3 linked regions of the Rattus norvegicus genome follow. The protein of the gene in region 1 binds, or shares a complex with, the protein of each later gene. Links are inferred from orthologs where the notes say so. Each region holds a gene or a part of one and is shown in the gene's direction. Other genes may lie near its edges.

Region 1 (3,500 bases):
CAGGGTTCCTTTTGAGATAGTGTGTGGTCATCTTCTTCCTTGACTGAACCGTTTATCGTTATTTCATTCAGATTGCTTATGGGAGATGAGCGTGTAAAGAACGGCCTGAATTTCATGTATGAAGCCCCGCCAGGAGTTAAAAAAGGTATCTTTCCTTTGCACTTTGATGTAATTGCCTGTAAAGATTTGGAAGAGGAGACAGTATTTTTTTTAATTAATTTATTTGTATATTTTATGAATGCGAGTACGTTATCACTCTCTTCAGATATGCAGAAGAGGGGATCTAATCCCATTACAGGTGGTTACGAGCCACTCTGTGGGTGCTGGGATTTGAACTCGGGACCTCTGGAAGAGCAGTCAGTGCTCTAACCACTGAGCCATCTCTCCAGCCCGAGACAGTATTTTTAGAGGGTATTTGTATTTTTCCATGGCTGTTGCTCTGACAATCTTGTCACAAGCAAAGTAAAATAAAGAGTTTCCAATGTAGTAGCTTATGTCCTTTGGGGGAATGCTCAGTACTGGCAGATAAACGTTCAGCCCTTTCACAGTGCAAACATATCTGTAGTCCTTATTAAAATACATTTTCAAATGCAAAGTCTATCACTGCCAGTGAAAACATAAAAGCTTAAAAATTAGGAGTTAACATGACTATTCTGAACGATACTTCAATGTTGTATTGTATCCTTCAGTGGTAAGGTAGACTTTTCTGCTGACATTTCTAACTTGTCCTGCTTTCCCCCTGTGCTTTGAATCTGCAATCAAGAAAACAAAGAGGTAAAGTACTTTTCTCTGTTTGAATTGATTTATAGTTGATTGTGATTTTATGGACAGTTGACAGATTTTTTTTTTTTTACTGACTGTGGTAGAAAGAAGAAACGGAAGGAGAGACAGAATACAAGTTCGAATGGCAGAAAGGTGCTCCAAGGGAAAAGTAAGACTGGTTCTTATGGGGAATGCATATGGCTGTCTCCAGTCCTCCTTGCCTCCTGCTTGTTAAGGTTCACTCACCAGAGCAAGTGACTAATTTGAAAGGGTGTTTTAATGACTTACCTCATGCAAACAGTGTGCTTCATCCAAGCCTGGATTTATGTGCTTGCTCGTTCTTTAAAACTACATTATCAGACTTAAAAATTGATGCTGGTTTTTTATTTTATAGTAATAATACACTTTATAATGTTTAAAAACTAACCTTTTTTGGGTTAGCTGATTGAATTTGTTACGTTGTTCTTAGTCATATGTTTGTTTTGTACTTAACAGATATGCTAAAGATGACATGAACATCAGAGATCAGCCCTTTGGTATTCAGGCAAGTGGCACATTTACTCTTTAAGAATAATTTTATTTAGCACATGTATCTTTACATTATTTTCCCCAAAATGTTTGTATTAGAGTTCTCTAAAGAACAAAACTGATAGGATGAGAAATACACACACACACACACACACACAGGAGAGGAATTTATGATGCTCCCTTAGAGGATGTGTTCAGGTAGTCAGCTGTTTGGTCCATGAGGTTGAATGTCTGCAGTCCTGGAGGATTCTTAGGGAGCTGCTGGTCTTTTTAGTCTGCATTGGAATCTTGAAGAAGTTGGATTTAATATGAGCAGCAACAGGATAGAGCAACTTGAACTTGCTAGTGAGAGAAAGAGTGCAAACAAGCAAAACTCAAAGCTTCCGTCTCTGAATTCTTCCTGTGTGGCCCAGGTTTAATAATCCGATCAAGAATATCCCTCACTGGAGTGTAGAACAGTTTGAGTTGATTCCATATGTAGGGAGGTTGCCAGCCAAGATTAGCATCATAGTGTTTAAGCTCAAAAAGGACTTTGTGGTTTATATTATGTCAAATGATCGGACTGAGGAGAAAACATGACCGTGCTAGGCACATGGAAGACGAGGATCAAGCTAGTGAAGGGGTAATGATGCGGTCACTCCGGCTTTCAAGTCATAGAGAACTGACTCAAGGTCGAGAAAAGATGTCAATATAAACATTACTGGGGATAACATTTGAAATGTAAGTAAATAAAATAACCAATAATTTTCTTTAAGAAAAGGATTACTGATTCAGAAACAGTCACCTGTCACTCCAGGCTGATCCCGTGAGAAACCTTGCTCAGTCATGTGCGATGTCTGTAGCAGCTTCCCTGCTGCGTCTGTCACAGCAGCAGAGCGGAGTGGCTGCAAACAGACACAGCTTAACACAGCGTTGTTACTTACAGAGTAGATTTGCTCACCACTGGCTTAGAAATGTGAAACGTCAGGGCTTGAAATAATAGCTCAGTGAAAAAACACTCACTTTGTGTGTTATGAGGGGCTGGAGCAGGACAGAAAAGAAAGGAGAAGGAAAGAGTAGCTGGGTAGGTGGCATGACTTGTTTTTCCAGTGTGTGAAAGGTAGAGGCAAGGCAAGAAGATGGAAAGCGTAACCTGGGCTATCCTGTGTAACGAGGGAGGAGGAAGATTTAAATGAGGGTATTAAGATTAGGGAACATAACATTAAACCATGCCATGACTCTTTGTGATATTTTACCATTTCTTTTTTAGATGACATTTTATAACAAGATTTTAGTATTTACATTGAATTACCTACTATAATTATAGAATTGCTTTCCCTGGAGATCTTTTTTAAAAGTAATTTAGCCAGATGTGGTGGTACATGTTTTAATCCCAATGATCTAGAAGTGTAAGTGGATGGATCTCTGTGAGTTCAAGGCCAACCTGATGCACAAAGCAAGTTCTAGACCAGTTAGGGCTGCATAATAAAACCTGTCTTCAGAGCGAAAAAGAAAAAAGCAGGGTGGGGGATCTAAGTGAGATGAGAATCAAAACAATGTTTATTATAATTTTTCAGGTTCGAAATGTAAGGTGTATTAAATGTCACAAGTGGGGCCATGTGAACACAGATCGAGAGTGCCCCTTGTTTGGTCTTTCCGGGATCAATGCAAGTTCAGTTCCTACTGATGGCTCAGGTAGGTATTAGACAAAAGTTATTTGTTTTAGAATTTTGTCAAAAAAGGAAAGATAAAATAACGTTTTTATTTACCTGAACTCTTTTGTTGCTCTTGAGTTTAATTTTCATTCCCCAAATAGAATGACCAGAGCCAGTGGTGTGACTCAGCAGTAGAGGATTTTGTGTGTTATGTGTATGAGGTCCTGGGTTCAGGCCCTAGCATGCCACTCGCTCCTCCCTGCCTCCCTGAAAGAGGAGTAAGTGGGAAATCCTTCGCTGTCTGTGTTAAAAAAAATTTTTTTTTCTTTTTTTCGGAGCTGGGGACCGAACCCAGGGCCTTGCACTTGCTAGGCAAGCGCTCTACCACTGAGCTAAATCCCCAACCCCCATGTGTTAAATTTGAAGTGCTCTGCAAGAGTTTAATTTTTTTAGCCAAGTGTCTGTGTGAACTCTGTTTATTGTTTTGTTCTGTTTTTTTGTTTTGTTTTTTTTTTTAAGCAAGGTCTCATAAAAACCAAGCTGGCCCCAAACTCACTGTGTGTGTGTGTGTGTGTG
Region 2 (2,832 bases), on another chromosome or scaffold:
GATGATGAAATAGAGAAATGCAGTATACTGAATAGTACATTACATGCAGTAAAGTCAAAGTTAATAGGCCTATCGTGGAAGAGTAGAGATCTTTAGAAACATCTGTCTGCCACTGAGAAAAATCTCTTCAGTGAGTACTCAGTGGATTATATTCAGAGTATGTACAGCGTCTTTTAATAGTGATTTTTAGAGTAAATATTCAATAAGAAATTTTTATCATCGTTCTAGAATTCTGTTTTAAATTTCTAATTATTCAATGAATATTTATTGAGGGAATATAAATATGGAGTGGAATTGAAATGGAATATTTCCATTGCAGGATGGAAAATAAATAGCTTATAAGTATTTATTAGAATTTAGTTTTCAGAGATTCTGTGGAACAAGTCTGCAGGGTTTTATTACTTTCTAGCTTTACTTTCAGATACATTTGCCTTTGTTAGGAGTTTTAAGTAGAGGATACTTTCTTTACATCAAGAGAAAGAACAAAAATAAAGCTTTAACATAAAGTTTGTTTTATATGGGACTTAGTTCCTTTGGTGTATTTCAGAAGCTAATAGAGAGTGAGTGTGTGTGTGTGTGTTGAAGAAGTAATAAAGCCACAAGATCTGTGAACGGTTAAAATAACAGATTTAAGTAATTATACTTTTTATTCAAAGCAAACGTTTCCATGGAATAGACACATCAGAAGTCTGTATGTGTGAATCAACACATACATATTTATGTAAGAGTGTGCCTGTATTCTTCAGCTGGACTTTAATACTTAGCCTGCATTTCTAATGTGCAGAAGTAAAAGATAAATGAGTTACATTTTTTTGTAGAAAAGCTCTTTAACATTAAAATTCAGTATGCTAACAAGCCAAATCTCCTATATTTCTTGCCTAGGCAACAAAAATATTTTTTTCTTTAAATTTATTTAAAAGTTCTCGTCCTTTTTCGGCTGCATAGTACATAAATGTGAAGACATTCCTTACTGTAATAAAATATACTAGTCACTAATCTAGTACAGTCACCCCGTTCTATAACAAATAGCCAGGATCTGATGCAAAGTTATATTTAAATATAGAACTCAAACTCAAAGCCCTTGAAATCTAGTCTTGAAAGACAGTTTTATTAGTTCAGATTCCGATTCTAGAAAAGCAGGCAGTCTTCAGTCTACGAATATCAGCTGCGTGGTTTCTCAGCTGTTGGTAATTGTGGCGTACATGTTAGATTTGTGCAGTAAAAGTCAGGGAAACAGTCCTGTTGAATATCCCTCCAGCTCCTTTAATTTTCCATTCTTAAATTTTATTCAGAAAAATTTGCAAGAAACTTAAGAAGAATTAATATCAATTGCACCAATGATATTTATGGTATGGTTTATTACCAAGGTTTTTTTTTCTTTTTATTAATCTTTTCCTGTGACTACACTCTAAATGTCTAAATGTCTTCATGTGATGGACATCAGTTCTTCTGTTTTATTTCATTGATATTTAATGTTTACGAATATGTAGCTTGGGCTGGAGAGATGGCTCAGTGGTTAAGAGCACCGATTGCTCTTTCAGAGGTCCTGAGTTCAATTCCCAGCAACCCCATGGTGGCTCACAACCATCTGTAATGAGATCTGATGCCTTCTTCTGGTGTGTCTGAAAACAGCTACAGTGTACTCATATAAATAAACAAACAAAAAAATAAATCTTCTTGAAAAAAAGAATATGTAGTTTGCAATCTAAAGTTGTAAAGTTTAAAGAGAAAATACTTATAACAGGTGCACATTAATCAAGTTGACCAAAGGGAGTAAAATACACAGAGTCAGAGCATATTGAGTTCTTTGAAATCAGATTCTTTTGTTTATAATATCTTGTTTGTGTGTGCTTTGGAGCGTGTTGATACTCTGTTAAGACAGCTTAATCTTTAAAAGTGTCATGTGGTCACATAACTCGTTGGCAAAGTAGTGTCTTCTACTCGGCTCCCAGTGTCTGCTCTATCTAACTTAATTTGTCTGTTTTTTAATTTATAGATAGTTGGTTGCCACTTTAAGTCTATTCCAGTGAATGAAAAAGACACCTTAACATGTTTCATCTACTCAGTGAGGAACGACAAGAACAAATCAGATCTCAAGGCGGACAGTGGTGTCCACTAGGAGAGATGCCCGCACGTAGACGTCTGCTGTCAAGAGTGTTTACTGTTCTTCCGATGTAGAAACGTTCTTGTGTATTTTTTCTACAGAGGATTTTCTTTGGCTTTTTGTTTTTGTTGCTGTCGTTTTTGATCCTGATAATTAGTTGGAAACTCATATAAACTGAGCTTCCTAGATTAAACATATTTTAAATAAAGGTTATTACTATTACAGCTACTTCAGCCTGTTTATTTTATGAAACTTTGTTTTTGTTTGAAGCTTTCTGGGGCTGGCATTAAGATGTCAGGGAAAGGATCTTATTTTGTAAGCCTTTCTTTAAAATTCCAAGTAATTAAAGGTAAAGGAGGAATGACAGACATGACCCAGTTGCCTTCCCTAGGCCAATTTGATTTGTAATTAAGCATTCTTGTTTTGTTTTTGTTTGTTTCTCTGTGTAACCCTGGATGCCCTGGGACTCACTCTGTACAGCAGATTTTCTCCCACTCAGAGATCTGCCTGTGTCTGCCTCCTGAGTGCTAGGATTAGAGGCAGGCACCGCCAACTGCCTGACTAGCATTTTGTTTTTTAAAGTGCTTTACAATGTATGTTAGCAAATGTGAAAATCAGTCTTTCATTACTTTTCAATCACTTTTAAATTTCCCTTTATGCGTTGTTATTCCTTGAGGACCTATGGAAAAAAAAGTTGTTTTTGTGCCTCTCTCTTTCCAAAGACACCC
Region 3 (3,147 bases), on another chromosome or scaffold:
CAGCACCCACATGCCTGTAACTCTATTCCCAGGGAATCTGAAGCCCTCTTCTGGCTTCTTCAGGTACTACACATATGTGAGGTACAGAAATACATTCAGGCAAAACACACATACACATAAAATAAAAAAAATCAAATAAAAACTTATCTGGGTATATTGGTGCATATCTTTAATCCTGGCACTCAGGAGGCAAAGGTAGGTGGATCTCTGAGTTCGAAGGCAGAGTAAGTTCCAGGACACCCAAGGCTACCCAGAGAAACTCTGTCTTTAAAAAAACAAAACAAAACAAAACAAATACTAGTAATAATAGAAATAAACATTAAAGAAGATCTCTATCAATGGAGACATAGCATGTTCAAAGTTAGAATAGCAATATTGTGAAGTCAGTTCTCTCAGATTTTTTTTTTCGGAGCTGGGGACTGAACCCAGGGCCTTGCGCTTCCTAAGCAAGCGCTCTACCACTGAGCTAAATCCCCAACCCCTCTCTCAGATTTATAGTCAATAAAATTTCAATCAAAATCATGGCAGTTTATGAAACTTAGTTAAGTGGTTCTAAAAGTATTTGTTAGACTAAAAGGCCAAGAGTAGCCATGTTAGTTCTGAAAAACAGTAGAAAAATAAGATGAGACCTATGTAAGATTTAAGGAGCTTGCAGGATTTAGGAAGCATTTGGATTAGCCTAAATATTCAGTGGGATAAAATGCAGAACCCAAAGCCAGTTGTACATGTGTGGAATTTTGGTATGTGAAAGATAGCATGTCCGATCTGTGCAGAAACAAGTATTCAGAGAATGGTATAGCAAAAACATCATGTTTTAAAAGAATGTAGAATACTGAATCACCTTATATAAAAGGCAGTGTCACTAGATTAAGTACTTTCAGAGAAAAAAAATTGTTTTCTAAACAAAACAAAAAAATGTGCTGCCCCAAAGTTTACCTAAGCTAAACATAAGAACTTATGTCTGTCAAAAGACATATTAAAATGTGAAAACTCTGGGTTTGTATAAGATTCATGGAATACACATAATTGATAAAGTATTGGTAGAGAGAATATTTAAATACCTATAAAAATACGGGGAAATGACATGGCCATTTATGAAAAGAATACATATGTCCTATACATAAATGATATTTATTGTTACCGGAAATGGAAGTCAAGACCTGAGTGCAATACTGTTTTGCATACATTTAATGGGAAAAGGTTCAAAGTTCCGACAATGCCAAATACTTGAAAAGCTGTGGTGCCACAGGACCTCTTAAACACTTCTGGTAGTCTATCCTTTAGTACACTGAAAAATCAATGTGACATTATCTTAGAAAGTCAGGCTCTCATATGCATTATGAGCAAGCAGCACCACACTATGGTACCTATGGACTAGAGGCATTTATGCGAGTGCTTGTTATAGCATCACTGTGTGTTGCTTCCTGTTCCTTATAATAAACAGAGAACCCGCAGTACTCAAATAGCCAAAATCTGTTGCCATCTCCTTAGCTCTCCCATGTTATCCCTAGACACCTCCATGCTAACCTGAAATGATTCTCTCCTCTTTACCCAGTCTTTCATGGTTTTTCTTAGAGATGCGTTCCTTGAACTGATTATGTAGGCTTGGGTATGTATACACAAACGGGGTCATTAATACTGCTCTCTGCCTAGCAGACCTTCTGAGTCTAATTTCCTCTGTCTCTGTATTTTACTGATCTAACTCTTAGACTGAATTCCCCTTCTGTTTTCTTTGTGATGCTTCTGGATTCTAAGGAAATTAAACTATCCACAGAATGCCTCTTCACTTATAAGTTTAGACTTGATTCTCCTCTTTGTATCAATAAAGTTGAACCTTAATGTGCCACTTGATTAATTAAGAGAAATCTTTCATCTGTCCTGCTCTGGACTCCACAAAGACAAACAAACAAACAAACAAACAAACAAAAAACCCACTATTACTGGCTGGGCATGGTGGCCAATAATTTCAGTGCTCAGGAGGCAGAACAGATGGATCTGTGTGAGTTCGAAACCAGCCTGGTTTGCATACAGCACTTCATGCTAGCCAGAGCTACTTAATGAAACCCTGTTTTAAAAGAATCACCTAAAATATTTAATAAGTTTCCCATTTTGGTTTATTCAAAATAACAAAAATAATTTGTATTTAGTGTTTGAAATTAATGGTATCACCTATGTTGACAAAACATTGGAGATTATTATTTGAATACTGGAAATAAGTCAAAGGAAAAGGAAACATCAACAGGTAAAATACACATTCATTTAACAACCCATATCCAGTGTCTATTATCATCTTGTAAATAGAAGATTCTATATTAACAAAGGATTAATGACAACATACTATAAGAATCATTAGTATGAAATGAAGTAAAAAATAAAATTTGTCTCCAGGCATCGCCGAATGGAGGCTGTCCGACTTCGGAAAGAGAACCAGATCTACAGTGCCGATGAGAAGAGAGCCCTTGCCTCCTTTAACCAAGAAGAAAGACGGAAGAGGGAGAACAAGATTCTGGCCAGCTTTCGCGAGATGGTGTACAGAAAGACCAAAGGGAAGGATGACAAGTGAGGGCTCTCTGACTTTGCAAGTGGACATTTTAACATCAAAAAGGAAATGTGGGTTCTAGACATAAATACAAAAAGCTTATTGTTTTGTTTCTGTTTTGAGTTCTTTTTTGATGTGTGGTTTCAATTAGCCCAGGTTGACCTCAGGCTTTGTAGCCAAGGATGACTCTGAACTCTTGGTCTCCTGTCTCCACCTTCCGAGTGCTGAGATTCCAGGTGTGTGCCACCAGGCCCAGCCAAAAAGGCTATTGTGCTGTGAAACGGCTTTTCAGGGCTTCTGTGCCTTCTTTTTAATTCTTCAGTCCTTCAATAAAAGATGCTTGTAGATATAATTAGTACATTACTTGGGGCTTTTTAAGATCTACCCTAGTCTTCTGGTTTAAAAGTCCAAATTCTGAATGAAGTCCTGCTATGTTAGGAAGGTGGCCTAGAGAGAAAGCGGCAGATGAATGAGGAATTTAAATCTCACATCATGATCTGGTGTGACCATCATTAGCCCCACACAGTGTCTGCCGCTACCCCAGAACAAGTTGGGGGTTCATATCTTGTCTTGAATGTGTTACAAGTGGACTTGACAGGAACTATTTA

What was found. The genes of interacting proteins can lie anywhere in the genome.
Region 2: Cir1 (region 1) and Sap30 share a complex: the UniProt entries of both Homo sapiens proteins name them as parts of the histone deacetylase complex. The link is inferred for Rattus norvegicus from reciprocal best matches to the Homo sapiens genes CIRSR and SAP30.
Region 3: Cir1 (region 1) and Nkap share a complex: the UniProt entries of both Homo sapiens proteins name them as parts of the notch corepressor complex. The link is inferred for Rattus norvegicus from reciprocal best matches to the Homo sapiens genes CIRSR and NKAP.

Annotation. Positions count from the first base shown.
Region 1 is NC_086021.1:78,586,310-78,589,809, reverse strand, and holds part of Cir1 (corepressor interacting with RBPJ 1), read left to right. Parts: intron 1-71; coding exon 72-145; intron 146-738; exon of another isoform or gene 739-763; coding exon 764-774; intron 775-866; coding exon 867-931; intron 932-1,257; coding exon 1,258-1,306; intron 1,307-2,846; coding exon 2,847-2,964; intron 2,965-3,500. UniProt on the Homo sapiens protein: May modulate splice site selection during alternative splicing of pre-mRNAs. Regulates transcription and acts as corepressor for RBPJ. Recruits RBPJ to the Sin3-histone deacetylase complex (HDAC). Required for RBPJ-mediated repression of transcription.
Region 2 is NC_086034.1:37,761,494-37,764,325, forward strand, and holds the end of Sap30 (histone deacetylase complex subunit SAP30), read left to right. Parts: intron 1-1,996; coding exon 1,997-2,119; 3' UTR 2,120-2,332; downstream 2,333-2,832. UniProt on the Homo sapiens protein: Involved in the functional recruitment of the Sin3-histone deacetylase complex (HDAC) to a specific subset of N-CoR corepressor complexes. Capable of transcription repression by N-CoR.
Region 3 is NC_086039.1:121,255,714-121,258,860, forward strand, and holds the end of Nkap (NF-kappa-B-activating protein), read left to right. Parts: intron 1-2,388; coding exon 2,389-2,563; 3' UTR 2,564-2,647; downstream 2,648-3,147. UniProt on the Homo sapiens protein: Acts as a transcriptional repressor. Plays a role as a transcriptional corepressor of the Notch-mediated signaling required for T-cell development. Also involved in the TNF and IL-1 induced NF-kappa-B activation.